4 linked regions of the Elephas maximus indicus genome follow. The protein of the gene in region 3 purifies or fractionates together with the protein of the main gene of each other region. This does not show direct contact. Links are inferred from orthologs where the notes say so. Each region holds a gene or a part of one and is shown on either strand. Other genes may lie near its edges. The genes, in order: KDR, mitochondrial chaperone BCS1, NRP1 and UBR2.

Region 1 (7,611 bases), on a different chromosome or scaffold from region 3:
TAAATGTATAGGTAACAAAATGCCATTTCAACAATCTTCACATGTACAGTTCAGTGACATTAATTACGTTCAGCATATTGTTCAGCCATCACCATGAACAGCTGATATTCTTAAAGTTGAAAGCAATTTTCAAATTAGAGGGTATGTTTGGAAGGCATAATCAGCCAGCCAATTAAAGACCTTTTAACAAGTACTGTTGAGTGATATTATCAATACCACCATGATTATAACGTATTTTACAGTTTACAGAGCACTTTCATGAGGTTGTCTCATTGGAGTCTCATAATAATCCTTGAGGGAGGGTAGGCAAGAGTTATTACTCTCACTTACCAGTGAGGAAGCCAGGGGCCTATCTAGGGAAAATAACACCTATGGCAATTGGTTTTAAATTGCTGAACCATCTCTCACAGCTGGCAATGGAAACTTCCATGGCCAACAGAAACTGCTCATTAGCGCCCCTCCTTAAGTGGCGCCCAGGGCACTGCCCAACGTGCCATATCTTAGTTGTGCCTCAGCTCGGGAATCTGATGCCTACAGTGATGGAAAGATTAACTCAGTGTCATTCTAAATCTGTGTATTAACCACAGCAAGACTCTGACAGTGGAGTGAATAGTAAAATGAACCCTTCAGGTCCATCATTCAGCTTCCACAATTATTAACCTTTTGCTTATCTTCATATTTACTTTTTAAGATTTGAAGTCTAAAATACTGGTGATGGTGATGGAACCAAATTCAGGGGTCATGAGGTGTAATTTATGTGCTTTGGTGATATGAGCAATATATATTCCGTGTGCACAACCCCAGTTCCTAGTACATAGTGATGCTCAAAAACTGTTATTGAATGATTGAGCCTTACTGCAGTTTAGAGGTAGGCAGCGTGAAGTAGACCATGCATTGTAGTATAACTAACCTTTGCAAAATACTTCTTGAGGTGTATCAGGTGCTTATGTGTAGGGTCCTATGCTTACCAGGTGCTAGGTCCTATTCTCAGTGACTTGCATGTAGTAATTCATTCAATTCTTAGAAGAACTCTGTGGAGAAGGTATATTATCATCTTTTGTGTTCTGTAGATAAGCAACCAGTAAATTGGTCAAGCCCCCATGGATAGTAAGTGGTAAGTTGACAGTCAAACACAAGCAGTGTAGGCCTACAGTTTGCGTGCTTAGCTACTGCCCTTCACTGCTCCTCTGAAGGTGTGTGTCTGAACGCCATCACTGAACACTCTTGAGACACTGTGCTAGATGGTGGCCATACCTGCACTGCCAGACTAATTCACAAAGTCACTCTTTTGCAGTGGTGCCAGATAACAGGAGAGCTTTGCACATGGAACACTTTTTTTTTTTTTTTTTTTAACAGACTCTCATTTTTCAAGAACACAAGGCCCTTCTAAGTGCTGTGTGGGAGGGAATGTGGTAGATTGATTTCATTGAGACCCTGCCAATTTCTGGTCCTGTGGCCATCAAAGATGCATCACTTCCTCCAAGACATCGAAACGGGGCTATTACCAAGGGCCTGCAGGTTCTGGTTTGCATTTGGAGGAGGAGACACTATCTTCTTACTTGAGATCTGGAAGAGGAAGTGTCCTGAATTGTAAATAAGGCTGAGAGAGAATTGTCTAAAGATGGAGATGGAGAAAAATTGCCTTCACCAAACCACATTCCACCTCCCTCTTCCTCATCCAACTCTGCCAGAGCCCATCTGTTTTACTTCTTAAATTTGCTAGCAGGAGGAGAGGTGTTTCTTTAAGGACCTTCCCCAGTAAAAAAAACACTCCTCAACAACACTTCCTAGATAAATATCTGTAGAGTAGGACATCATGCCACCGTTAAAAAGAATGAAATGGCGCTCTGAGGGTTGAGTGATGTAGAGTGCTCACCAATGTATATATTAAAGTGAAAAAAGCCAAGATTCAAACAACAGTTCTATCAAGGCCGCCATTTGTGAAAAAGGAAGATGATTACTCTGCGTATAAGGGCATAGAACTTGCTTGGAAAAAGGGAACTGGTAAAAATTCTTGCCTCTGTTGAAGAAAGGTTTTTTTGTTTTTTTTTTTAAAGGTCTTTTTACTATAAACTTTTTCGTATTTTTGGAAAAAAATTTACCCATATGCATTTATTATACTTAAAAAAGAGTTAAAATACTTCATTTATCAAGTTGGAAAAGTAGAAGAGTAAAGAAATGTATTTTTTAAATAGCAGAAGAAAAGCAACACCTGATGATGATTGTGTATTTCCAGAGGAGGGTTTTGGACTAAATGTAGGGTTAAATTCTTCCTCTTCATCCTGCTGAAGGGATAGTTCTTTCAGCTGCTATGAAAACACGCTTGCATGCACCTTGGAAGTAAAAGACAGAGGGATTTGAGAGACTCCTATTTAATGAAGTTAGGGGACATGTGATGATTTAATGAAGTTAAGGGACAATTGATGTCACTCCCTGGATGTAAAGAGAAATAAAGAGAAAACAAGAAGAAAGAAATATGGTCATGAAAAAATGCTAGTTTCTCTACAAACAGCACCACAAGTAGTCTACATTCATGGAAAGAGTGGTGAGGTCTGGTCACTGGGTGTTCTGGGTGCCTAGGATATGGGAGTTTTTGCTTCATTGCTCAGCCTCAGGTTGTCTGGGCAGGAACTTCAGACTCTGAAAAGGGGCCTGGCTAACAGTGGTATCACTAGGGTTGGTGTTACTCAGTGTGGTAACTCATGGTGCTGCCCCACCCCGTGGACCTCCTCCAGTACCAGACCATACAGAATTCTTAGTAATGTTATGGGGCCTTGATGGCACAGTGGTTAAGCTTTGGCTGCAAATCAAAAGGTGGCAGTTTGAATCCACCAGCTGCTCACTGGAAATTGTGTGGGGCAGTTCTACTAATACTATTCATAAATCGTAATTCCCATATATCACTGAATGTAATAGCAATAGTAGTGATATAAACAAGTAGGAAAATTAAAATGACACCTTTAACACCTTTAAGTTACAGTTTTCTATCATACGCACAGCCTAAATGTATTTACATTTCACTTGGTTCAAGTGAAAATTCAGTAAGGAAACAATAGAATTCGAAGTAAAAATATTTAAGAACTACATCAAAATCACGTTCATTTTAACATTAAACTTTACGTGAGATACATTAGTGGATTAGGTTTGGAAAGCGAGGCAGAGCGAGCCAAGAATTGACCGAGCGGTTTCTGCTCTTATGTTATATGTCTTATGTCCTCTCTGCTCCTCACCATCCAGGTTGGTACTGGCGACGTTTTTGGTGTTTTTAAGTCTGATTAGTTTTCCCCACTTGGGTTTTAAAAAATTTTAAATAAAACTCTGCTGTCTTGGAGGGTTTCTACCGGCTGGAAGGCCCCAGGACATGCGCCCCCTCCCCTGCCATGAGGGAGAGAGGGAAGCAGTTCTCCAAGATGAACTGCTCAGTCCAGGGCTCCAGAGGACCGGGCTTTTTGGAATGTAGTTGGGAGTCTTACAGCTCTTGGGCTGTGCCCGGGTTTTCCGAGCTCCTCTAAAAAAAAAAAAACAAACTTTTTTTATAGAGGAGGTGTATGTGTGCGCGCGACTGTGTGCGTGTTCCGCGGCGCCGCTCGGCGCGGGGGAGGCCCACGCGCCCACGGCCGGCTCCGGGGGAGGTTGGTGCCACCGCCTCTGACAGTGTCACCTGGTGCGGTCCGCAACCCCTGCACCCCTTTAGTGAAGCCACTGCTGGCTAAGAGTCCAAGTAGAGTCAGGCTGGGTGCTCCTTGTCCAGTAACACCGGACACAAAAGGCCTTTCTTGAGAGTCTCATGCCAGGGACGGAGGCCACTCACGCAGCGGGTACGCAAGAGCCCGGGATACCTTCAGCTCCCTGAAGCCCTGCTTTAAGCTTTTGGCTAGGAGCTAGGCAGAAGTCGCAAATTTGAAAGCCTTCTGGGGCTAAGCAGATAAGTTCAAAATATTTGAAGCCGCGTGAACTTTCGGGAACTGGGGAACTGTATTTTCAGACTGAGACATTCAGAGTCAGATTTTCAAAGTACAACTGTGCTGGCCAAACAAAACACTCGTAGTGTCTACGTTCACTGCGGGTTTGCGACCCCGCAGACGTCTCGGCTCAGTATCTGCTTCTCCCTGGTTGCTCCTCCAACCTAATCCCGCATACAGTTTAGACGCGGCGCACCCCTTGCTGCATTTCCGGTGATATTTCTCGTATCTCGGGGACCGGCAGCCGACTGAACCTTGGAATGGTTCAGAGCCCTTTACCGGCTACATTTTATTTCCACCAGAAACTAAGTTGTTGCGCCCGGAGCGCTGCACCCGGGCCGACTCGGGGCCGGGCGCATCCCGGGCAGGTGTAGAGGTGAGGAGATGTAGTGCATGTTGTAGGAGCGGGATCCAGGCCCCGGAGTCCCGGGAACACCCAGTTCGGCCGGGTGAGGGGCGGGACCTGTGGCCCAGGGGAGTCCCGCCCGCAGCCCCGCCTCACCTCGCCCCGCCTCAGCGCTCTAGAGTGTCTGCCTGGTTCCTACTCGGCAGTGAGTCCGGGGACCCCGGGCGAGAGGAGGTGTGCTGACGCTGCCTTTCCTCTGCCACGGGCATCATTTGCTCCCTGTAGAAGGCCCAGAGCCGGTCCCTCAGCCGAGATCTCCTCTCAGACAAGCGCCCGCAGACGCCTCTCCAGCAACTGCCGGGCCGGGGCACCCTCGCCCTGCGCGCTCCGGGTTGCTGCGCTGAGGCACGCGTCTCGCCTTCACGCCTTCTTCGCCAGGCAAGCCCTCCGGGAACGCGCGTCTGAGTTTTGGGCACTGCGCCCGGCGTGAAGTGCAGGATGGAAAGCAAGGCGCTCCTAGCCATCGCTCTGTGGCTGTGCATGGAGAGCCGGGCTGCCTCCGGGGGTAAGAAGCCCACTCCTTGGGAGGGAGGCGGACAGGTTGGGTGCGCACGGAGAGATCCAGATTGTGGAGGACATGGCGGCCCGATATAACTTCGAATCTTAGAGCTGGAGAGTTGGAAAGGACTTGACGCTTAGTGCTGTTTAATTAACCATTGGGGAAATTGAGGCTCGGAGACTGACCTCCCAGCGAGTCGGTGGTCTACTGAGTTCTAACACGATGCCTTTTCTACGGCTCTGGTCTCTGACAGGCGCCTCGACTGGAGAGTGTCCTGCGAGCCAGCCGACGCACGCTCGGGCTCCCGGAGGCGGGGATAGGAAGGCGCCCAGGGCAGGCGTGCAGGAGGTGCCCCGCAGGCGGGGAACAGGCGGTGAAAAGTCTTAAGGGCTGGGCGCACTATTTTAGTCCGGGTGCAGACAGGCAGCTCCTCCGCTGGGAATGAAGCCCTGCAAGGAGCGTAAGCCTGGTGTCCCAGGGCGTCCAGTGCACTCAGCTCTACTTCCGCTAGAGTGGAGCGGGGATCCCGGCCAGCGTTCCCTCTTGGTCTGAACTGACAAGCACAACCACAAAGAGATGGCATCCAGTGAGAGGGAACCTTTTTTTTTTCCCCCCTTTCCTTGGTGCAGGGCGCCTCTTTCCTCGCAGAGAAAAAACAGAGAAGGTAGGGGAAATTGGGACTTGGCCCTGGGGCTGTGACAGGTTTCCCGAATGTCTCTAAGTGACAGTCACCTTTCAAGGTAAAACAGTGTTAACGTTTTTTAAAGCGGCTTTGTCCTTGCGGTAAGCGCATAGTCAGAAGTTCGCCCTGAAGACCAGGTCTGCCGGACTTCATACCCAGTTTTAGCGCCACTTGCGACTTCCCTTGCCACCTAACATTGCGGTCTCCTTTAAGATTAGGAACACAAACGCTCTTAGTGCCATAACTTTTTTTTTTTTTTTTTTAACGTTTCCCAGATAACATTCCTTCTCCGTAGCCATAATTTACTGATTTCCAGATTACGTGAGGTTGGAGGGGGAAAAAAGTCAAATGTTTAGGAAAATTATTTTTTATTATTTTGAAAGAAAAGAATCACGTGTCTTAAGACTTTTCTACTCACTTACAGTAGCAAGATCATCTGTCTAGAGTTATTGAATTTTCTGAATAAAGACTTGGTTCACCAGGCCCTGCTCCACCCTGGACACTCATTCGACCCTGACAAGGGCCCTCTCTCTCCCTTCATGGGCAGAGAATGAATGTCTGGAACATGTGGTTGTTCTGTATCCCACAAAGAAGTGAGTCGCTTTTAAGCCTGGGGTGTTTCATAGCGCAGCGGTAGTAATGGTAATAGAGTTGCCCTGAATAATGGTGAGGTTGCCCTTTTGGAGTATGTGGCTTAATTAATTGGATTGAGCTATAATTGGTGCCATCCAATTCTAGAGACAGAGACACTGTTGTTTTTCCTTCCTGTGTTTGAGCTGGAAGGGGTAATAGTGCACAAACTAATTAATATTGGTTATGGAACTTGAACATAGCAGGCCTTGTTATGGAGTAGAAGGATATGTATCTTTTATAGTCATTTCTTCAGAACTTTCTGAAGAGTAGAGCTCAAATTTGCCAATAAAAATGTATGAAGCTTAACGGAGGAAAAAAAAATTGAGCCTTGGCCGAAAGATGATGAATTTGAAGTTATCATTATTGATAGCTTGTTGAATAGATTTTTGTCGTAGATTTGTCTGTAGAACAGTATTGTGTTGTCTTGGCTTCCTATGAATGGGGAACACATCTTTTTTATGTTTAATTTTTACATAGCAAAGTGTGTCTAGAGTGTGGAATGATTTGTGGCAATAATTTGGAGAGATCTTAAAGAATCTTTTATTTTGGTGATGGTGGAAGCATAGCTTATTTTAAGCCTAGTCATTTACTACCATTTTGCTCTCACGTGAATGTGCCCAAATAATGACTTATTTCTCATTTGGATCATTGTGTGAGTTGTAGTAAGTTTCTGCTTTCAACGTGTTTTTCAACCTGCTGTTTCCCAGTGAAGTCTGAAATCTATGCTCACACAAGTGAATTTTCATTCTCCTTTTCTTAGGCAAAGTGCGACTCCATTATTGAAAGGCATTTCTTTTACTTTTCCACATTTTGCTTTATTGCTTGCATTCTTTGGGGGCAGTTAATTTCTTCATATTGAAACATGGTGTGCTAGCTAATTAACTGAATATGACAAACCAGACCAATAGCTGTCCAAGAGTGGCCCTTAGACCATCTATGTCAGAGTCACCTGAAATCCTTGCTAAAATGCATTTTCACAGGCCTAAGGATAGCCTGACACATCCTAGGATTTAAGAACCACTGCCTCAAACACAGCATGTCAGTACCAGTGACAGTTTCTGAGGCTTATTGATGTAATTAATTTCCATTTTTTTTTGACTGTGTTATTGATGAGTAACTATGTGGGTGTGTGAGAACATGGGTGATCAGTTTGTTCATTTTGCCTGTAGTTATTCACGTTGGAGTCCACAGATTGGATGCACTGGATATTTGCTTATACTCTCTTTACTCATACTCTCTCTTACTTGCCCATATTTGCTCATACTCTTTATTTCCCCAGCAAGATCAATGCTAGTTTAGGTCCAGAGAGTCATTTGTTCTTAGTTGATGTGAGTTAGGGATCACACTAAGTTTGGGTGCTTCCCAGCATTGATCACTTTTTAAGCTGCTGTTTTGTGGATCCTGATATGTAAATGGTTAAGGCTCTCAG
Region 2 (7,087 bases), on a different chromosome or scaffold from region 3:
TACACATGCTTCCATATGATTAGTGATCATTTTTATTTCTTCTTTAGAAATAAAAGGATTGCATGCGGGCTTCTTTTTCCTCCTTTTTTTTTTTTTAAAACTCTTTCCCTTTCTTTTTCTTATTGTGGAACTCTGAATCTTAAAGATATTAACTGTTTCTTGTATACTGCAAATATTTTCCCCAGCCTCTTTATTTATTCTTTATGGTTTCTTTCATCACACAGAGAAGTTTAGCTAAGCTTTTCCAGTATTCTTTGCCACAACACTATACTGCCAAAGAGAGTGGTGACAATTAGCTGGAGGATGGCAGTTAAAAATATAGGTAGTTTCCTTAAAATAAGAGATTATAGATGGTATGTGGCTACCACTACATACTATTCTAATCAGGACCACAAATAGATGGACCCTGATAGAATGGGAGAAGAATGTAGATCAGAACCTCAAACTCCTTTAAAAACAAAAAACAAACAAACAAACAAAAAAAAAACAGACCTACTGGACTGGTTGAGACTGGAGGACTCCCCGAGTCTAATGCCCTGAGATACTCTTTAAGCCTTGAATCCAAACTAGTCCCTGAGGTCACCCTGTAAGTAAATAACAGACTGGCTCACAAAATAATGAATACCACCCGTAAGTGCTGCGCTCCTTTTAAAAATCACCTATGTGAGACCAAGTGGTCAACAATTACTTTAAAACAAAGATGAGGATGTAAAGCAACAGGGAAACTAGATTAAAGGAAACAAAACAACCAGAGCTAAAATAACAAGAATGTTCACGCACTGCAACGAACGCAACCAAAGTCACTGAACAACTTGTGCAGAAACTGTTCTAAAGGAACCTAAACCACTACGTAAACCTTCACCGAAAACACAATTTTATTAAAAAAATAAAAACAAGGGATTATAGATATGGGCAGAATAAAGGGATGACTCTTTCCCCTAGGATAAATACAAATGCTCAACTGCCACTCTTTAACAGCTTGCTTGGATGAGTTACTTATGTTATGCAGGAGAAACTAGGACGGGAAAGCAGGTACCAGGTTACCTCCGGAAAGCCCTGCCAAGCCCAGGTGGTGGAAGAGAGCCTGGGCCTTTTGCCTGATCCCTGGCTGCAGTTCTTGGGTTGGAAGACCAATATGGGTGAAAGAATTCCCGGGAAATATAAGAATAAAAAGAAGCCAGGATTGGCCAGAGGTGTCAGGAAGGTCTTCCTCTCTGGATTACTGCCTAGCAAACTGAAGCCCATCCTGAGCCCTCACCAGGAACAGGCTCTGCCAAGAGCTTGGTACAAGGTTGTGCATCACCTTGGCAGCCTTCGGTCAACATTCACCAACTGCAAACCAAATTACAACATCTCAAAGTATAAAAATAGGATGCTGCCCTGTGTTCTCATATTTATACAGAAAGATCAAAAATAGCATGGACAAAACCTCAGGGCTGCTTGTTCCACTGGCCTCTAGCAACTGTATTTGTACCTGGGGTGTCTCCAGGAGCATCTGGGGATAGGTTTCCAGCTACTGCTTCCACAATGATCTCCATGTTCCCTGTGCTCTCATCAGTTGCTGTGGCCTCTACCAGCAAGCAGCCTGGGTCCGGAGGCAGAGTTGTGGGGCTCCCAGAGGGGCAGGGGCTATGAACAGGCTCCAGGATTCCACGGTTAGAGAGAGGTTGGGGGATCAGCAATAGTTCAGAGCACAGTCCATCCATCTCCCCAGTACTGTTGGCTGGCTGTGAGTCCAACACAGGGTCTGTCATCACCACCGATTTCAGTGCTGTGGCTTCTTAAGTGCTGATAAGCCAACGAGAAGAAAAACAAAAACAAAGAGTCAGAGGTCTCACTTTTTTCCCAGCTGGTGTGGGTGTACAGCCCAGTGTCTGCCAACCTAGGCGGTTCATGCTATACCTTATTAACCTAAAGAGAGATTTTCTTTTTATGACTACATCGAGAACAAAAAGAGAATAGAAATAATGATAAACAGGGTCACTACTGGAAGACAGCCGACAAATCCTGGCCAAGATATTAAAGACAACAGGTTGTGTTTCTTGCACTGCTAACACTTAGCTAAGTGACCTTGGACAAATCATGAAACAATGATTTGTTTTCTCATCTGCAACAAAATTTGGTGGGACCAAAGAAATCTCTGCAGTGCCTTCCCCTCTTAACATTTTATGATTTCACTGTTCTTCATCACGTCTATAAGGCCCTTCATGATCTGGCCTCTGTTGATCCTTCCAGACTCAACTTTCACTTCTCCCCTCAACAAACCTCTAAACCAGCCATATCAATTTACCATTCCTTAGACTCCCAAAATTCTCCATACCCCAGCACATGCCTCTCTCTTGGCGTGACATGCATTTCCACCTTCTCTCACCTGCCTTCCCAACTTCTAACTACCCTTTAAAAATCTGCACAAATGTCACTTCCTCTACGAAGGCTTCTTAACTTAAGTTGTTTTTTCTCTTCTGTGGTCCTAAAGACACTTTCTACGTGGCCCTATCACAGACTATGTCACATTGCACTGCTGTTTTGCTATCAGTCTCCCTCCTTAGACTCTGAGCTTCTTAAGTGGAGCTTTTTTTCTTTTAAGTGACATCACTTCACTGAACACAACCCACCAACAATCTATGCAAGTTAGACAAATAAGGTGATTCTAGTGAAGAATTGTAGAGGATCAACTGTAGAGACGCACCAGGGTAAAATGAGTTATCTTGGTAACCATGTGATTCCTTACGCATAAAATAATACATGTGGAGAAATTTCAAACTCATTGACTGGACTATGGCCTCAGACTAAACACTGGAACACAACTGAGAAATGAATGGTGGTTAAACTGCATATCCTGTTAGACATGACTAAAACAAGTTTAAGCTGAATAATTCATAACCAACAAGAATAACGACAGTAATCACTTCATGGAAGATCAGTAAAGACCTAGGGCTAGGAAGAAATCAGGTTGCACGTGAGAAGCAAGATGCACAAAAAAGAAACTAAGTCCCTGCAATCTCATATGCCCTGTTCTCCAGAATCCTGCCTCTCAAAATCTCAGTTCACACGGAAGTGCCCTTCTGCGATTAGAGGGGTTCTCAGCAAACCACAGCCTTCATTGATTCTTATCTTCGCTCTGGGGTATCTTTCCGTTTGGTCCTACATGGTCTGAAAGGGGAACCAAAGCGCACGCGATGCGGTCTAGATTGAGAACCTTCATCGTCTAGAAGGCGCGGTGAGTCGGGAGACAGGTGGATACAAGAGAAGAGATGAGCTGATCGCTGGGATAGGAGCAATGAGGAAAAGAAAGGGCAAATGAAGGCAGTGAGAAAGAAAGATTCCCGGCTTGGGGACCAAGGCCTTCAGGCTCTGACTCACCGTGCGGCCTTGGGCAGACAATTACTTTGCCTCTCTGGGCCTCAGTTTTTCCATCTGTAAAATGGAAACGATGACAGCATCCACAATGTCTGAGAGGAGTGAGGATCACAAGAGCCGAAGAATGGGAAAGGTGTTTTGTAACCTGCAAGGCTTAGGACGGAGCATCGTCATGATTACGGTCCTGAGGAGGCAGCGGGTACCTGGGAGTGGTCCAGAGCAGTGACGCGGCTGAGGCACCGGGGCCGACCTCCTTGGCGTGCACCCTTCAGCACCTCCTCCCGGGGGTTCCCCCTGCCCAGACCAACCCTCATCCTCGGGCTCGAGAAACTTTTGCCTAGGGATCGCTCCACCCGCACAGCCTTGCAGTGCCCAGCCCGTAGCCACTCACTCACCTCCCGGCCCAGAGCCGGCGGGAGCCGCATCTCTATGGTCGATCAGCGGCTAGAGCGGTCGCCCGGGGCTCCTTTTGTGCAACCGCCTCTGGCCCAGCGGCCTCTAGGACGTAGGGTACATGAAGGCTACTCTTTCCTCCTCTCGCCGGTTGGCGGGGTACTCTATGGTTTTATCTATAGTTTCCCTTCCCACCTCTCCCGGCCGTGGCTCCCAGGGAGTACCATCGAGAGTTGTGGGGCAGAGTGGCAGGGCCTTCTTGGTGGGCGTGGCAGGAAGTAGGCAAAATAAGTCGGGGCTGGGCCAAGCGGCGCTTCCCTCAAGTGCGAGGAGGTGAAACCATCGAGAGGGAGGGCCAGAGAGTCATGGCGGTAAGGGGGCGGAGTGACGGGTCACTCCAAACCACGCGGCTGGAGGCGCAAGCTGGGGTGTGGAGGGGGTTCGGGAGTGGGCTCCTGAGCGTCCAGCATGGGCCGGGGCCGGGGAGGGCTCCTTCTGCGGCTTTCCATGCAGAGATGTTTTGGAAATCTGGATCCTAACCCTGAACCTCCGCCGAGGTCACTGCTGTCAGTTCACCGCCCTGCGAGCCAGGCGCAAGGCAAAGTGGCAGGAGGATTGGTGGTGGGGAAGAAGGGCGGGATACTAGAAACGGCTTGGCCCTTACCCCTTGGGATCTTACAGCCTAGAATTAGACACGGTCACATTTTATTGGGGTAATTCAGCAGAGACTCCGTGGAGGAAGTAGCAAAAGGGCAGTATTTCTTTTTCCGAGAATGGAGGGTATAAAGAAGAACGGGTATTCCGAGCTGAGAGACCTTCAAAAGCAAGGCGGTGGGAGGTTGTTCGCATATTTTTTGGCTAGAGTATTAGAAGCTAAACCAGGGAAGGTAGGTGGGTGCTGTGTTGGAGAGAACCTTAGATTCTAGACTGAGGAGTTCGTACCTAATTCAGTGGTCTGTTGGGAGCCATTGGAAGTATTAGAGCAGGGCGAGTGATAGAATTGGAGCTGAGCCCACCTGTGTAGCATTTTGGTGAAGCTGGAGGTGGAGACTCATTAAGAGGCCATTTCGAACTAGAATTTAAACGTTTTAGAGAGACAGGTTAGATGAGAATTAATAAAATTCTAAGCAGGGCAGGTTAAGGGGAATTGGGCGTGAAAGGCAGAGTATGTTTGAAAGACCTTACTCAAGGAAGGCACGGGGTTAACTGCCATGTCAGTGGAAAAGAGTAGCTCTTTCACTCTCTGCTGACTGCAGGCATTGGGCACCTTTCTGTCCCAGCTGGTCTCAGGGACCACAAAAATTCTGTCCTTCCGTTATCCTAATGTGAAGCTGGTTACATTGCTCCCTGGGGTTTAAGGAATCTCCAGACACTTCCTCTGGCAGGAAACAGGTATGAACAGGCTAATGAAGGGCAAACGGGAACAAAGGGCCTGGAGTCTCAGTTCTCTTGCCCTCGCATTCCAACCTCTTCCCCCTCCCCCCCACAAAGGGTGGATATTGAAGCACACAGTAGTGCCTACCTGTCCCTCTACAGGAGGGAGTGGGGTGGTTTGGGATAGGAACTATGGAGTCCAGTTTGTTTCTAAGCTAATCTTATGCATTGTCTCATTTCCACTGCCTTCAACCCCTAGGTTTTGATAATGCCTCAGGGCTTGTAAGGCTCGGTGTTTCCCTTTCAAGATGTCCCTCTCAGACTTTATTCTGGCCCTGAAGGACAATCCCTACTTTGGGGCTGGATTTGGGCTGGTTGGTGTGGGCACAGCCCTCGCCCTGGCCCGGAAAGGTGCCCAACTGGGCATGGTGGCATTCCGGCGCCATTACATGATCACACTGGAAGTCCCTGCTCGAGACAGGAGCTATGCTTGGTTGCTTAGCTGGCTGACCCGCCACAGTACCCGAACTCAGCACCTCAGTGTGGAGACTTCGTACCTTCAGCATGAAAGTGGCCGCATCTCCACCAAATTTGAATTTGTTCCCAGCCCCGGAAACCATTTTATCTGGTAAGGTTGGGAGCCAGGGAAGGCTTTAAGAGCAGAAAAGGAAAATGAGGGGAGCAGGGTCTGACCCATTTGCTCACCCCATTTTGGCCATTCTTTTTCTTTTTTAACTGTGCTTTAAGTGAAGGTTAACAGAACAAATTAGTTTTCCATTCAATAGTTTATACACAAGTTGTTCCATGACATTGGCTGCAATCCCTGCAGTGTGTCAGCACTCTCCCCGTTATCACCAAGTTCCCCATTTCCATTTGTCAGGTTTTCCTGCCCCTTCCTGCCTGCTCATCTTTGCTTTTGGGTAGATGTTGCCCTTTTTGGTCTCGTGTAAATGATTGTTCAGACCAGTAAATATGGTCGTTTTTATGAATTTGAATTTTGTTCTTTTTTTATCTCTAACTGGGACCTTCTGTTGTGATCCTGATCAGGGTGGTAGTGGTAGCTGGGTACTATCTGGTGGCGTAGTGGTTAAGAGCTACGGCTGCTAACCAAAAGGTCAGCAGCTGAAATCCACTAGGCGCTCCTTGGAAACTCTATGGGGCAGTTTTACTCTGCTCTGTAGGGTCGCTATAGTTAGAATTGACTTGACGGCAGTGGGTTTGGTTTTTTTGGGTACCATCTAGTTCTTCTGGGCTCAGGCTAGTGGAGGCGTGGTTCATGTGGTCCATTACTTCTTTGGATTGTTTCCTTGAGTCTTTGATTTTCTTCACTCTCCTTTGCTCCAGACGGAAAGAAATCAATAGTTGTGTCTTAGATGGCTGCTGACAAGCTTTTAAGACCCCAGATACTACTCACCATAGTAGGGTGTAGAACGTTGTTTTTATGAACTATGTTTTGCCAGTTGACCTAGATGTCCCCCAAGATTATGATCCGTAGTCTTCAAGCCCAGTAACTCACTTCCTTGAGGTGTTTGGTTATATCTTGGATGTTGCCATGGCTGTGCCCCCTGTGTGCTCTGTTATATATATGGATGTACATGCTGCACATACGAATATGTATGTAGAAATATCCACAGCCAAACCATATGCGTGTGGATGTACTCCCATACACCCTCCCACTTCTTTTCAGCATACATATCTACTATGTATCCACTCAAATTATTGTTTGTTATTACTGTTGTTGCAGGATTGTATATGTCATAGTATTTACCACTACGTATCCACTCATAAATTGTTTTTACTGTTGTTCCAGGATTGTATATGTTATAGTATTTACGTCCTCTTTTATCCTTGTGTACCTCTCAGTGTCTTCTCTTGCCTTGGTTGTATTGTGCTGACTTCCTCCATATTGTGTACTGCCTTTCCGTTCACTAAAGTTAACACGTGTCTACTCTCTAGTTAG
Region 3 (8,156 bases):
TCTTATTGACTCTTCTTTGTAGGTGACTTTTCTTTTATCCCTAGCTGCTCTTAAAGTTATCTCTTTATCTTTGGTTTTGGCATGTTTGATTATAATATGTCTTGGTGACTTTCTTTTCAGACCTACCTTATGTGGAGTTCAATGAGCATCTTGGATAGATATCTTCTCACCGTTCACAATATCAGGGAAATTTTCTGCCAACAAATCTTCAACAACTCTGTCTGTATTTTCTGTTATCCTTCCCTGTTCTAGTACTCCAGTCACTTGTAGGTTATTTCTTTTGATAGAGTCCCACATGATTCTTACGTTTTCTTTTTTTTCTTTTAATTCTTTTATCTGATTTTTCTTCAAATATATTGTTGCCAAGTGCTTTATCTTCAATCTCACCAATTCTGCCTTCCACTTGCTCAATTATGTTCCTCTGACTTTCTATCGAGTTGTCTAACTCTGTAATTTTATTGTTAATCTTCTGAATTTCTGATTGCTGTCTCTCTATGGATTCTTGCAGCTTATTAAATTTTTCATTATGTTCTTGAATAACCTTTTTAATTTCTTTAACTGCTTTATCTGTGTGTTCCTTGGCTTGTTCTGCATAATGCCTGATCTCCTTCCTGATGTCTTGAAGAGTTCTGTATATTAAGCTTTTGTATTCTGCAACTGGTAATTCCAGGAATGCACCTTCATCCAGGAGATCCCTTGATTCTTTGTTTTGAGAGCTTGTTGAAACAATCATGGTGTGCTTCTTTATGTGATTTGATATTGACTGTTGTCTCTGAGCTATCTATAAGTTATTGTATTAGTTTATGTTTGCCTACTATATTCTAGCTTCTTGTTTTGTTTTGTTTTATTTTGATATGTCCAAATTGGTTGCTTGAGTGACCTAGTTTGATTATTTCCACCTTTGAAGCTCTAACATCCTGTCACCAGATGGCTAGAGTTGTTACCAGGTATATGAGCCTAGCAGTCCATTCACTTTTCTTGTATGGATTCAGCTCAGGTGTCCAGGTAGTTGGTCATCAAGTGTGTTGTACAGGCTCTGTCCTACAGTCTTAGAGGGGTTGGGGTGATTGGTGTAGGTACCAGTATCTGGTCACAGCAGGAGGTCACACTCTGAACAGGGCAGGGTGCTGACAACCATCTCCTGAGTGTCTGTGAGGAAAGCGCATCCCTGTTCCGTAGAGTGCACAGGCGGGTGGGTTCTGCAGACAGACCTTGGGCACCCAATGCTTTTGGTTGTAAGGACTGAGAGATACCAGTTATCCCCGGACACCTGTCACAGGTGGTTGGGTGACCTTAGTAGAGCCACCAGTCCTTAGGCCCCTGATGTGGGTAGATGAGGACCCTGTTTAATAGGCAAAGCAGTGTGAAATATCAAACAGCCACCTCTCCACCACACAGCTGAAACAGTTGCAGTCTGCCAACAAGGGCATACTCAAATAGGCCCACACGGGTCCATACAGGGGGGAAAGATATTCAAAGTTCACTGTCCGTTTATGCCTGGATAGGAGCCACTTCTGTCCTGAGTTCCCCAGGTTAGTGGAGCTGACAGATTATCTTTTCCCCAATTGTGAATTTATTCCTTCTCCAAGTCGGGGAGAATGGCTCAGGACATGCAATGGGACCTCTCTCAGGCCCAGGGAAATCGACAGCCACTGAAGCTGGCTTTGGGGCTGGGAGTGCAGGAAAATATACACAAGTACATAGCTTTTGCTGAAAGCACTGTTCTTCTCTGGTTTTGGAGGTGTGAGTAGGCTGTGTGACTGGCTGTTCCTCCCAGAGGAGACTATGACTGAACACTACCATCAACCCACCACAGCTTGAGAGTTCCTGGTGATTCAGATCCAGCACTCCTCTTCACTTCTGAACCATCTCCCCCTCCCCCTGCCACTCAGTCTGTTTTCTAACTTTGCCCTTGATATTCAGGGCTTCTAACTTGTCTTAAATGTAATCATTTTACTTGTTTTTTCTGGTCTTTGTTGTAGGAGTGTTCACGGGAAGCGTCTGAACTACTCCGCCATCTTGGTCCTGCCTCCTAAATATATCTTGAATACATCTTTTTCCAATTTCCACTCCCATGACCCTCGTTCAAGCTCTTGCTTATATCACATTATAGTTGCTTCCTAATTGGTCTCCTCATTCCGTCCTTTCCCCCCTTCTTAACTCATTCTCCACACAGCAGATTAACTAATAAAATTCAAATTAAAATTCTTCACTAGTTTTTAAATTCAGTTAGAATAAATTCCACAATTCTTAATTGCGTGGCGGGGGGGGGGGGCAGGTTATTGTTGTTGTTCTTTGTTTGATTTTTAAGAATACTTCTTGCTTTTTTTTAGAATTTCTTAAAACTTGAGTTCTATATTAATTTTCACAAAACTATGACTGAATTTAAAGAGAGAGCCTCTTTCTTATTTTGGTCACTGAAATTATATTTTTAAAATAGTTCTTTTGAAACTTTGAATATTTTCTCTTTAATGTTCTTATGGTTTGGTGGGTATTTTATTGGTTATCTTGACTTTAATTTTCCTAATTGAAAAAGTAATTCAATTAAGACAGAATAATCTGAGATTATTCATTACAACCAATACAAGTGTTCAAATTCTAGCTTAACCTCTACTATTAACAAAATGTCTTGAATCCACCAACATGATTCAAAATTTACCATTTTCCTCCTGTATCTTCCAATTGCATGCACTATATTACAAACACTTTGTATTACAGCTTTATCTTAAAACTTTAGATGGTTATCTTTTCTTGAATACTTGAAGAGTTTTCAAGATAACTTTTGAAAGGCCAAAAATAAAGTATCATAAAGTAAAAATTCATTTGTTTAGTTCCTTCTTTCCTTTGGCAATACATATTCAGGAGATAGGTATAAATGAGGTCCAAAAGACATCTCTTTATGATAGAGACATTTGACATAAATGCTGTTTTAAATTGAATTATTTTAAATAATGTAGATTAATTTAAATTCCAATTTTTTAGTCTTTTTCCAGTTTTACTTCTTCCATTCTTACATCTCAAATGTAGGTTAGAGCCTACTAAAAATATATTGTTTTATTGCATTTCTGATGCCTGGGCTTGATGTTTTTAAAAACTTGACGAAGATAGACCTGATACTATTTTTGTATACCAACCTAAATCTCCACATTTCATCAACCTGAAATACTATGAGAAAGTTAGTGGCTTTAATGCCCTTCTGGGAACAATGGATCTCATCTTATTTCTGATGAATTGATGAGAGCTTGGTGAAAGGAATGAAGCATTTACCGCCCAGTCTATTCTTAACGATGAGCCATGGTTCCAGCCTGACTCTGGGGGACCCTAGCCAGCGCCTTATTTCTGGAGCAGTCCCTGAGTGCTAGTCAATGGGGCTGAATAATGCTGACCCAGGGCCTCCGCAGGGCCTTCTGGGAGTGCAGTCTATACCTCTTCCCTTCATTGGAAGTGGGTCCTATCTAGCCTGAGGATTTGCGATATCGGGAAAGAGTGATGCCTTCACCATACCAAAATAAAATCAACCCAGGAACACTGCCAAATTCCTCCTCTGTCTATCACTTATTCTTGTATAAAGGTCAGTCTGTCTCCCTTGCTGGGGAATTGCAGAAATCTAAAGCTGACCTTCTTCAGCACTTAGTGGAATACAAGAGCAAAGGAAAGAGGTTGTCAGCAGGGGCAATTTGCTCTGCACCAGCCCACGAGCTAGCAATTATCAAGCAGCGTGGTAGGTAGGGTTCTATTATCCAGTACTGTACCTGGAAACTAAGGAGTCTAGAAAAGCCTCAAATCAGCTAAGACCAGGAAAATCAGTGGCAGAACTTAAGTATGGTATTTCCCCTAGAGTATATATTGCATGCCTTATTAGGTGACAGGAGAAAAGCGGGCAAAAGTGCTTAGCTGGTGAACAAGAAAGGAGACAGGCGTTCTCTGAGCGTTGACGCGCCGGAGGAGCCCTTCCCGCTGGGGAGGCGCGTGAGAGCCGGAGGAGGAGCGACTGCTGCCAGAGCCCGGAGGAAGCGAGGTCCGGGTGGGGGACAGTCCGTCCCTGAGTGCGCGACCCGGTGGCTTTATTTACTGCCCTTTCGAGTCCAGGCTGGGAAATGCACGCTCAGCGGGGAAAGGGGAAGAGAGATTGGAAGCAGTTTTCTAAAAACAACACAGCTCCAGTCTTCCGCGTGTGCCCCCTCGCTGACCCCGCCGAGGCTCAGACGGGTCAGAACCGGCTCCCTGGAGCGAGGGCCGCACAGTCCCAGTAGGAAGAAGGCGACTATCTGTAACTCTAGGACGCCCCGATGCTGCACCTCCCTGTTTCCCTTTCTCTGTCAACATGCCAGGTGCTGAAAGCCGTCTCTCCCACCGAGCCCTGGACTGAGGTCACTAGGGGCCACCCCAAATCTGATGATGATGTTGATCCCGCGCAGCTGGGGACTGACTGGCGGGGCTGGGGCTGCGTGCAGAGCAGAGATAAGGCGGAGAGGCGGCGACGAGCAGAAGTCTTAGCCAGGAGCCCAGGTTTCCTCCGCCGGAGCGCTGGCTCCCCTGGGCTCTGCTCTGGGCGCGGCTTTCCCCCGCCTCCTCCCTCCTTCAGCCGCCAGGCCAGAGGCGTAGACCTGCCCACCCCCCTGCCGCAAACCCTATCTCTCGACCCATTTGATACCAGGGCCAGTGTCACCTTCCTACCCCACGCCTCGCTGGGAGTGCCTCCCAGGGGTCGGCGACTCGAAAAAGAGCAAACTGGACAGACAGGAGGCGCTCTGGAGACAGGGATGGCTTGCGGAGCGGAGGTGTCTTGGTCTCAAGATTGGCGGCTGGGGCTCAGCGGACGCGGGTAGGGTGAGAAGAAAGACTTGCAAAGGAGGGCTTGAAGCCAGAAACTGGCAAGGATCTGATCGGACCAATGAGTTCGGGCGCCGCGGACTGCTCCTCAGCGCGGGCACGGAGCCCGCCTGCACCCTGAGGGGCGCGCGTCACCGCGCCCAGCCTCAGCCCGCGAGTGTGAAACCCTTGCCTCCGGCCGGCGCGCTTTGGGCTGCCACTCTCCCTGCCCGCCCCTAGTTCTTCCGCCAAAACCTTTGACCAGAGTCTCCTTGTCAACATTCTTAATCTCCTTTGCCAGCTCTTTAAACCAGGTAGGAATAAGGTCTGATTTGGGGATATGTAAATAAACGCCAATTCCCAGAAGGTAGAGTGACCTTTTCACCTTGTCCATGATCTCCTTTGGAGGGAATCCGCGGGCACTGACCCCTCTAAAGGGCTGAATCCATGATCACAAACTGTTCGTTTCTCTGAAATGTCCTTGCTATTCATATCCGCAGACGCACTTCAACAGCAGTTCTCTGGGAGCCCTTGGGGGATGAAACTGGGGAGCCTCCAGCGACAGTGACGACTCCTCTCTGTGGGGAGGTGGGAGTGGGCAGGAAGCTATAGGACTAGCGCACACAATTGCCTGTTGCCGGGAGTCGGCGACGTGCGGGCCCTGCCAATAGTCCCCCTTTCCACCTCTCTCCTCAGCGCTTCCTCTTCCCCCGGGATGCAAAAAAGCAGGGGCCACTGGACCCCTAATTTCTAAACCGCTGAGTACCTGGGCTCGGAGACGCGGGGCTGGGTGGGGTTGGGCGGCGACTGCCCCCTAGCTGGAAGGCGATTTATCTCCCACCCTGCGGGCGTCCCCTCTATCCCGAAGGGGAAGTCTTGTCCAAATCTCGGGGAACAATGGAGCCCCGCGGCGCACGGCGGGCACCCTGGCGCCCAGGCGCTCTGGCAACCAGCCGCGCGCCCTGACGTCGGGGCGGGAGACCGTGTCCGCCTGCAGCCCGGCCTCGCACGCCTAGGCGGTTTGACATGGCCGTACGTGGCACTGACACTACCTCCCCTTTCTCGGCTTTGCAGTGCGTCTCCTACTCCAGCTGGGCTTTCCACCTCTGGCCCGCCAGCCCTGACCAGGAGTGCCCAGCCGGCGCCCTGATCCTCCTTGCCACAGGTCCCAGTCTGGTCAGGCGGGGAGTAAGAGGTGGGGAGTAAGCTGGCATCGTAGCTCCCCTGCCCAGCTCCGCGCGGAGAAGCCCCGCTCTTAGCCAGCAAGGGGATTTGGAGTTGCAAGAAGCCGCCGCCACCTCCCGGCGCCCCGCACTTCTCGGCAGCGGGATCCTCGCTGCCCCGCAGCCTCCCCGGCTCTCATTCCGGGGTGCAGAAGCGAGGTCCGCCGAGGTAGGCGAACCCTGCGCCTTCTTTGGCACCGACATCGATACCCCCACCCCAAACACACACGCAAGCACGCCCTCGGCGCAGATCACAGAGCCTTCCTCCTCGTGAAGATCCCTGCAGGGCCTCGGAGAAAGACAGACAGACCGACCGGGAAGGCACAGTGAGGGAAACTTGTTCCTCCCCTCTCCTGTCAGGCAATTACTGGCGAGCTTGTGCAGGGAGAGGGGAGGAGGAAGCGAGGGAAGGGCTCAAGAAGGGGAGGGGGAGGACGGAAGGAGGTGGGGGAGGCGGGGGTGCAGTTAGTGAAACTCCTCTGTCTCCCGCTCCTCTTTTCATTCCTTGCTCCTCTCCTTTCCGCAGACACCCCGGACCTTCCCTGGGCGCCAGCTCCTCGGCTCCAACGGGTCCAGAGACTACCCAGATTTTTTTTTTTTTTTTTTTTCCTTTCTGGAAATTGGCTTTGGTGTATGTTTCCCTACCTCACTCCTCCCCCTCCCAGCCCCCACTTTTTTTTTTTTTTTTTTTTTTTTGAGACATGGCTCGGGCAGCGGCTCTTGGAAGAGGAACAAGTGTGGGAAAAGGGAGAGGAAACAGGAGCTAAATGACAGGATGCAGGCGACTTGAGACACAAAACGAGAACCGTTTCTCTGGGATCAAGGCATTGCCTCGCTGCTTTCCTTCCTCCAAGACCGGCTGGAGGATTTTACAGCTCTGAGCGGAGTTGCGGCGCTTGGGATTTTTCAGAGTACTCCCTTTGCTGTATTTTCCCTGCGCGATCTCGTTCTCCCGCTTTTGCCTGGAGGTCCGGAGAAGGTAGAATGGAGAGAGGACTGCTGCTCCTCTGCGCCGCGCTCGCCCTCGCCCTGGCCAGCGCTTTTCGCAACGGTAAGTGACAGGCGGAGGCGCGTCTGACAGCGCCGCGCCCGGGGCTCCCCGGCTGCGGGCGTCCTACCGGGCTCTGCCTCCTACCCCAGCAACCCGACTCACGCAGAGCTGCTGGGATGAAGCCGGAGGAGCCATCCGCCCGGGCGAAGGAAACTTTTATCCGGGCGGAGAAATAAAGAAATCAAAGCAATCGGTTTATGGCAAGAGGATTTCAAGTCCTCTAGCTCCCTCCTGGACCACACAGCTCCCTCCTGGAAGTTGGCTGTTTGATTGTGGAGGTTTTCCTATCTCTCTTGCAAGACGGAGCTGCCGACCTTCCCAGATCAGCACACCAATTATCTTAATAATGTTTCCTCCCAAAGGCAATTAGATGAGCCTCCCTTTCAAAAATTTGATGGCAGTTAAAAGTTAATGAACACTTTACCAGGAGAAACAACTTCCTGGTTCTCTTGCAACTCCCCCAAACTGTTTCCTCTGGCGGGTGCCTGCAAAAGACAGTGGTTTGTTGGTTGATGGAACCCCCGCCCACGGTTTTGTAACTCGTCCCTAATCCGTCTGGAGTTTGAATGAAAGTTGCATGGTGTCAATAAAGGAATCTGATATATACAGCCTAAGGCACCAGGATATCTCGAAACCCCTAACCTAGTTGCAGCTTCCACTTTGCTCTTTCAAACCACTCACTGTTAAGTAAATGAAAGACTGTGCTGGGGTATAAACAGGACCATGTAACATAAATAATGTGTTTTATGTGACCTGGTTGTAGGCACGTTAAACTACCACTGAAAAGTTGCTGAAGGCAAGGGTATGAAATTATCTTTACAGTAAGTCTTGGGCGATTATTAATAACTAATTATCAAATATTTACTTTAGTCTGACTTAGATTTCAATCAAAGTAATTAGAAGAAAAGAACAACCACTACTTTCTGTGGTATATTGTTTTAATAAGAGACTGCAAGCGGAGGTGTTCATACCGAGAGGAATTTAAATTACATCTTTATGGTGGAAGTTGATCTCCCTAATACGTTTTCTGAAGGTCTTGTGATTTAAGCAATAGATTTTCCCCAACAGCT
Region 4 (7,112 bases), on a different chromosome or scaffold from region 3:
GGGAAAAAAAATTGCAATTGGCTGTCATCATTTTAATCATCTCAGACATAAAAGAGAGAACCAGGTAACTTTGTCCCCAAGAAAAGCAGAGCATGTGTCCACAGATCTTAATCATGAATGAACCTATCTTGAAGTGGCTTTCCTAACATAGAAATGTCTTTGTTCACTCTTTTGAAACAATTCAAAAACACAAAGTTCTCAATATTTTATCCATGGCCTGTAAGAGTCAAATAATATAGGACCCAACAAGGAGAAGGGAGCCTTCCCTGGCTTTTGGCCTACTGTACATGAGCTTGGTTAATTATATAAAATATATATATATGTATAAATTAACTTACCTGGAAATGGGTACACTGGAGAAGCAGCATTGCATGAAAAGAATATGAGCCTTGGAGTTGGAAAGACTTGAGTTCAAAGGCCAGCTCTGCCCCTTACCTGTGTGACTGAATTGATGGCTATAGCTGCATTAAAAATCACCCCAAAACTTAGTGGCTTAAAACATCAATTACTGCTTAATGAGCTCTGAGTTTCTGTTTGGGGTGAAAAAGTTTTGGAAATAGATAGTGATGGTGGTTGCACAACATTGTGAATGTAACAAATGTTACTGAATGCACATGTAAAAATACTTAAAATGGCAAATTTTATGTTTTATATGCTTTGCCATGAAAAATTTTTTTTTTAATTAATCATTTATTCATGATTCTGCAGGTTGGCAATTTAGGCCATTTTTTCTGGTCTCCCTCATGTGTCTGCAGCTACCCACAGGTCAGTTAGGTGCCTCTGCTTCTAGGAGTTGGCTGGCTGCCAGCTGTATCTAGATTCTCCTCCATGTGGTCTCGCATCCTATAGCAGGCTAGCGCAGACTTGTTCTTAGGGAGAAAGTGGGCACTCGAAGGAAGCATGCAAGACCACCTCTGGGGATTTAGGTTTGGGACTGCTATTCTATCACTTCTACCACATTCCATTCACTAAAGCAAGTGACAAGGCCAGCCCAGATTCAAGGGGTAGGGAAATACACAGCACTTCTTTATTTTATTTTATCATGCTTTAGGTGAGAGTTTACAGTACAAATTCGTTTCTCACTCAAAAATGTATACACAAATCATTTTGTGATATTGGTTGCAATCCTCACAACGTGTCAACACTCTTACCCTTTCTACCCCAAGTTCCCTGCGTCCATTCATCAAGTTGTCCTGTCCCTTCCTGCTTTCTCACCTTTGTCTTTGGGCAAGTGTTGCCCATTTGGTCTCATATACTTGAACTAAGAAGCATGTTCCTCACGTGTTATTTTTTGTTTTATAGGCCCATCTAATCTTTGGCTGAAAGGTGGACGTTGGGAGTGGCTTCAGTTCCGAGTTAGCAGGGTGTCTGGGGGCCATAGTCTCGGGGGTTCCTCTAGTCTCTGCCAGACCAGTAAGTCTGGTCTTTTTTTGTAGACACCACTTCTTGATGTAAAGAGTGGTAGAGTCACGTTGTAAAGGAAGTGCCTACAGGAAGCCCCCTAATGAGGGTCATTAAACTGCAGTCAACCTACCACAGTGACCTTGGGAAAGTTATCTTACCTTCATAAGTCTCAGTTTTGTTGTATCTAAACTGAAATGTATTAACACTTATCTGAAAGATGCTAGTTGAGAATAGGAATAATATACCTATTACTGTTACCAGCTGGCATAGCATTTATTAGTTTATATGAAAACTAACTGCCATGAAACTTATTGTTCCTGATTCATGCCAAGTCTGTTCCAGCCTTAAAACCCTTGCTGTTGCTGTCTACTTTGCCTAGAATGCCCTTGTCCCAGATCTTCACATGACTGACCCTTTCTTCTCATTCAAGACTCAGCTCAACTTTCCCCTCCTCAGATATACCTCTCTGATCACCCTAATTATTTTCTTTGAACATTTCTCAATATCTGTAATTGTATAATGTATTCACTCACTTACTTTTTTATTGTCTGTCTCTTCCACTAAAATATAAGCCCATGAAAGCAGTAACTGTGCCTGCTAATTGATATCTTGCCAGTAACAAGAATGTGACTGGCATTTAGTAGGAGCTTCAGAAAATATGCACTGAATGAATTGATGGGTGGATGGAAGGATGAATATGGCCAAAGACTGGGCTTTGTGGGAAATAGTACATAGATGGGTATCTTTTGCAGGGGGAGAGAGAGGGAAGTAGGTAATGAGCTGGAGGTTGAGACCATGTCTAGGCCCAGTGAGGAGCCAGGGTGGAAAGCCCTGAGCATAGGGAAGGTCCTGTGCCTGGGACTGGGTATAACAGGTGGCACCCAAGTGGGCCTTTTTACAGTCCTGCCCCTTCTGAGCCTCAGTTTGTACCTTTTGCCCTTTCACCAGTTACGTTATTTCCTTTCACCCAGAAAACTCCCTTCTACAAATTTATCCTTTGCTATACCTAAAATTTGGAAATCCTGGTGGCATAGTGGTTAAGTGCTATGGCTGCTAACCAAGAGGCCAGCAGTTTGAATCCACCAGGCGCTCCTTGCAAACTCTATGGGACAGTTCTACTCTGTTCTATAGGGTCGCTATGAGTTGGGATCGACTCGACAGCAGTGGGTTTTGTGGGTATACCTAAAATTTAGCTTGCCAATCAATATGAAAATGGAATTTAATTGAATATTCTTTTAATCACACAAAACACTGGAAAGAACCAATGAGTTCATCAATAGTTTAAACACATTGCGATACATTCATGGAATAGCACAGAACGCTATGCAGTCATAAAAATAACAAAGCATTATTAGGTTAAAAAAACCAAGGTGTATTGGGAATCTAATACGTCAGGCACTGTTTTAGGAACATATGTACATAAGTGAAAACAGAAAGTTACTGCCTACATGGAGCTCACATTTTAACTATCCTAAAAATATGGCAAACTTTATCATCTGAATCACCACCAATCCCAACACAAATACCTAGAAATGTTGGTTGAAAATATAATAATCTCAAATGTATATCTGAAAGGTTGAGGCACCCAGTGCTTCTGATTATGGAACCTTTGTGTTTTCTCTTCCTGGATGCTTGTAAGATTCTAAAATTTCCAAATTATAACAACAACAAAAACATGTTCCCTACTTGGTCTGGGTCAGAACTTTTTTTTTTTTTTTTTTTTGCGTAATGTAACTCACAACTTCCTTCTGGGAAAAAATTAGCACTCCTGATAAAACGTGTAACCAATTTTCTGATAAACTCTAAATGGTTGAAGATTTGTTTTAAGAAACCCATTCACCCAACTGTCAGTCAAGAATCTAATTGCCATTAACCAAACAGAATTTTTTTAAATATCTAATCTAACAATGGTTGTCTATGTCTATCAAATGTCCTTACCAAGAGTAAATCTTCAAATTGGCCTGATACAGTCCTTTTCCTTTGCAGGAAATTTTCGTAATCTTGATAAGCGGTCATAACTAAATTGCTTGAAAAGTTTTTCTATTAACAGCATTTAAACATATTTTAAAACCTTAAAACACCTGGGTAATGTTCAATTCGGTACTAGTCTAAGGGGAGAGAGGATGATGGATGACAGGGTCAAAGAATTCTACAGGAGTAGAATGCAATTCATCCATTCTTTTGACAAGCATTTGAGTGCCTACCTTAAGTCAGGCTTTGACAAGTACTTACGTGTCTACCACGTGCCAGGCACTGTTCAAAGCGCTGAAAATACAAAAATGAACAATTGGGTGTATGGGATAAAACTACAATTCCCACATTATCGTGTTCTGGTGCCTCTTCCGGAAATCCTGGTGGTGTAGTGGTTAAGAGCTACAGCTGCTAACCAAAACGTCCGCAGTTCGGATCCACCAGGCGCTCCTTGGAAACTCTATGGGGCAGTTCTACTCTGTCCTACAGGGTCGCTATCAATCCGAATCGACTCCACGACAAGAGGTTTGGTTTGGTCTTGGGTTCGTGCCTTTCCCAGGTAGGCGTCTCATGCCACTAATCTCTTCCCATGATTCTAGTCGTCCAGAAAGTCCCGCCCCCTTATCTGCCATTTGCTCAGTCTCCGGTTAGAAATGGACTACAACTCCCACAATACCCTCGTGGGGCACCCTATAAGGGTGTCACCGTTCTCTGTGCTGTGCTGAGATCTACTACAGTTCCCAGTATCCTCCTCTTCCCCTCCTGAGTGTTATTGCCCCTTTCCCGGTGCGGGAGACGGTAGTAGCGAGCAAGGGTGCCAGGTTTGGGTTCCTCTGTGTCCTTCCCCTGGGCAGGGACGAAGCAGTGACTTGACGCTTAGGCGCTGAGCCCGGGCGGGAGCGCAGAAGACCGCCGTCCCTCCTGTCCGGCTCACCGCGCCTTTCTCCCTCTGCTGCTTCCCCCGCAGCCGCCTGGGCGGCTCCGGGACTGACTGACTGACTGCCTGGGGCGAGGGTAGCGGTCGCGGCCGCCGGGGCCGTGGCGAGGCCGCGGCCCTCGGGGCGGCGGTAGCGGCGTCAGCGCTGGGGAGAAGGAGAAGGGAAGATGGCGTCGGAGCTGGAGCCCGAGGTGCAGGCCATCGACCGGAGTTTGCTGGAATGTTCGGCCGAGGAAACCGCGGGGGTGAGTGCCGGACCCGGGCGGGGACGTCCAGCCCTCGCTGGCCGCGCCGGGGGGAGGAACCCACTCCTGGAAATCCTGGTGCAGTCTGGTCCTGACTTGGGGTGACGACCGGGCCGGCCTGGCCTTGTGGAGTAACGGCCCGGGCAGGCCACCGATCGTTTTTCCCCTCTCCTTTCTCTCCTTCCCTCTTCATTCTCAAACAGCCGCCAGCACTGCACTGTGCACCAGCCGCGTTTACATTCCCTTTTAGTCCCGGCTGACCCAAGAGCTCTCATTATTCTTCTTCCCCTCACCCTCCCGCAAGTCCCCAACACGCAGGCCTTTGCCCTTTATTCCAGCTCTTGGAAGATGGGAGGGAAAGAGATGTTTCCTAGCGTTTTGGGTATTATCGCCCTACTTGGTCTTCCCGATTCCGTTTTCTGAGATAAGCGGAGATACACATTGTCCACCAAAAAAGGTTCATTAACTGAGCCCCCACTTTGTTTCTGGGACTGCCCTAGGCACCGGGGATGCAAACGACACAGTTCTCTCCCTTAACCCCTTCAGCGCGCTTTTTAACCTGTTTGGTCGGTCCACAACGTTTATGAATGCGTGGAAGATAGTGTCTTGACACGTTTAGTGAATGTGTGAAAGTAGTAGTGATGGAGGCTGCAGGTGAAATTTTTTTTTTCTAGGAGTTGATGGTCTTTGGATAGACGACAAACGTTATATAACTTCGAGGCAGCAGTTTTCACCAAATATAAGCTAATAATATGAGGGTTGGCTAAAGCATAGTAGAAGCAGTATGCCCCAAACTGATACTTAGCATTGTAGTGAAACTGTAATTTGAATATGCTAGTAGTTGTAAAATGATTGATGAAACTCGATGGCATTTTTCCCCAAGCAGGACAGGGAACACCCATTAGAACAGATTGTCCAGATTGATTATGAATGGACCAAAACAACTTGGGCCCCACCTCTAAGGCCTCCAGTTTAAAAAACTACTAGGAAGGGAGTGAACACAAGTCGACAGTCTGAATGTTATGAAAAAAATTTGAGCAGGGGGCACTGTGGGGCTGTTGGGCAGTGAAGTTATTTTGAGTGAATTGATGAAGACACTGAAGTTTTAGGGTGGAAATAAGTGAAGGCAGGAGTAGAGGTGAACATTTAAAGAAATCCATGGTTCTTTGCTTGTTTTTTTGTTGTTGGTTTTAACCACAGTCCTGACTTGGTTGCTTAGTCTATGTTTTCTTTTACTTTCTGCTTAATGTGGTAACAACCCAAGGATTTACATCCCCCATCTGCGTTTCATTGGTAATTATCAAAGAGATTTGAACAAGAAAATGAAAGCAGCATTACAAGTAAACAGTAATATTATAATAACGGCAGCTATTCCTTATCCATGGTCTTGCCTGTTGATATTGAATAAGTTAGTTACCTCAAAGTAATTTTTTTAATCCCGCCAAATATTAGTGCCTGTTGGCCCAGAGATGCAGGCTACATATTCTATTATCCCTATTCTAAAAGTGCAAACTATTGAGTAGCAGAGCTTCTCCAACTTGTTGAGGTTCCTGAAGAAACCAGTTAACAGAAACGGTGCTGGAGACCAGTGCTCCTAGTTCTTGAGCAGTGAAATTCTCAAGCAGACACAATGGGGAAAATAAAGGGAAATGCAATAAAAATTTATTAATTTGGACTTCATTTGAGTTTGTGAAGATCAACAAACTGAATTCCATTTTACTATTGCTCTGTTTACTTTAAATGGCTTTCTGACCAATAATATAAAGAAAAATGTTTACTCTAATAATTAACAAAATTCCTTCAAATATTAGGTGCAAACTAATATGAAAATATAAGATTCCTCCAGCTATAAAGCCTAGCCTTACTTTGTAAAGGATTACTGTCTGTATTTTAGTTATGTTAGCATAGCACTTAAAACTATTCTTTCAACTTAGGCTCCAGCACAGCTCTTTTTCACAGACTTAATAAAGTTTCCTCTCCAATTTAAAGTAAATGTTAGAGAGGATAAACAATACTGGTAATTTGTTGGGATCACATCCGTTTTAGATTACTAGTGAGCGCTAGTTTCTTCTTTCCCACACTTTATTTACACACCGCTTTTCTTATTTCTGTTATGAGGAGAAAGGACTTTATTGTGATCCCATATATCCTAAGTACTATGCCTCACAAAAAGCATCTAGGCTGGCTTTAATTATTATAAATTTAGGATATGGAAATGGCTCCCTCTTCTCAGTCTTCTCATTTTCCTGATAGAATTGATTCCACAACAACTATGACTTTCCCAAAACTTCTCAGCTCTTATTTACTACATTTTGTGCTCCACAGATTTGATTATAATAATATTGTGCTCTAATGGGTGATTATGTTTTAAGAAATACATGTATTGTTTTCCCCCAATTATAAATGAAATACATATTCGCTGTAGAAGTTTTAAGTCTATATATATTTTTTGCTTTAATATTTTAACAGATTTGAAAAAAAATTCATACACAGTCAATTCAGTGGGTTTTAGTATATTCATAGAGTTGTACAACCATCACAGCAATTAATCTTAG

What was found.
Region 1: the proteins of NRP1 (region 3) and KDR purify together in Homo sapiens (affinity purification with western blotting; 7 studies listed by BioGRID and IntAct, with this or other methods). This does not show direct contact. The link is inferred for Elephas maximus indicus from reciprocal best matches to the Homo sapiens genes NRP1 and KDR.
Region 2: the proteins of NRP1 (region 3) and mitochondrial chaperone BCS1 purify together in Homo sapiens (affinity purification with mass spectrometry; 3 studies listed by BioGRID and IntAct, counting the BioPlex papers as one, with this or other methods). This does not show direct contact. The link is inferred for Elephas maximus indicus from reciprocal best matches to the Homo sapiens genes NRP1 and BCS1L.
Region 4: the proteins of NRP1 (region 3) and UBR2 purify together in Homo sapiens (affinity purification with mass spectrometry; 3 studies listed by BioGRID and IntAct, counting the BioPlex papers as one, with this or other methods). This does not show direct contact. The link is inferred for Elephas maximus indicus from reciprocal best matches to the Homo sapiens genes NRP1 and UBR2.

What each region holds. Positions count from the first base shown.
Region 1 is NC_064823.1:106,202,261-106,209,871, forward strand, and holds the start of KDR (vascular endothelial growth factor receptor 2), read left to right. Parts: upstream 1-4,499; 5' UTR 4,500-4,806; coding exon 4,807-4,873; intron 4,874-7,611. UniProt on the Homo sapiens protein: Tyrosine-protein kinase that acts as a cell-surface receptor for VEGFA, VEGFC and VEGFD. Plays an essential role in the regulation of angiogenesis, vascular development, vascular permeability, and embryonic hematopoiesis.
Region 2 is NC_064824.1:117,210,289-117,217,375, forward strand, and holds the start of mitochondrial chaperone BCS1, read left to right. Parts: upstream 1-4,081; 5' UTR 4,082-4,124; intron 4,125-4,198; exon of another isoform or gene 4,199-5,386; 5' UTR 5,387-5,435; coding exon 5,436-5,755; intron 5,756-7,087. Other genes in the region: ZNF142 (zinc finger protein 142), read right to left, coding at 1,475-1,754. UniProt on the Homo sapiens protein: Chaperone necessary for the incorporation of Rieske iron-sulfur protein UQCRFS1 into the mitochondrial respiratory chain complex III.
Region 3 is NC_064822.1:6,926,802-6,934,957, reverse strand, and holds the start of NRP1 (neuropilin-1), read left to right. Parts: upstream 1-5,034; 5' UTR 5,035-5,126; intron 5,127-6,115; exon of another isoform or gene 6,116-6,204; intron 6,205-6,527; exon of another isoform or gene 6,528-6,561; 5' UTR 6,562-7,019; coding exon 7,020-7,086; intron 7,087-8,156. UniProt on the Homo sapiens protein: Cell-surface receptor involved in the development of the cardiovascular system, in angiogenesis, in the formation of certain neuronal circuits and in organogenesis outside the nervous system. Mediates the chemorepulsant activity of semaphorins.
Region 4 is NC_064819.1:107,011,335-107,018,446, forward strand, and holds the start of UBR2 (E3 ubiquitin-protein ligase UBR2), read left to right. Parts: upstream 1-4,071; 5' UTR 4,072-4,479; coding exon 4,480-4,557; intron 4,558-7,112. UniProt on the Homo sapiens protein: E3 ubiquitin-protein ligase which is a component of the N-end rule pathway.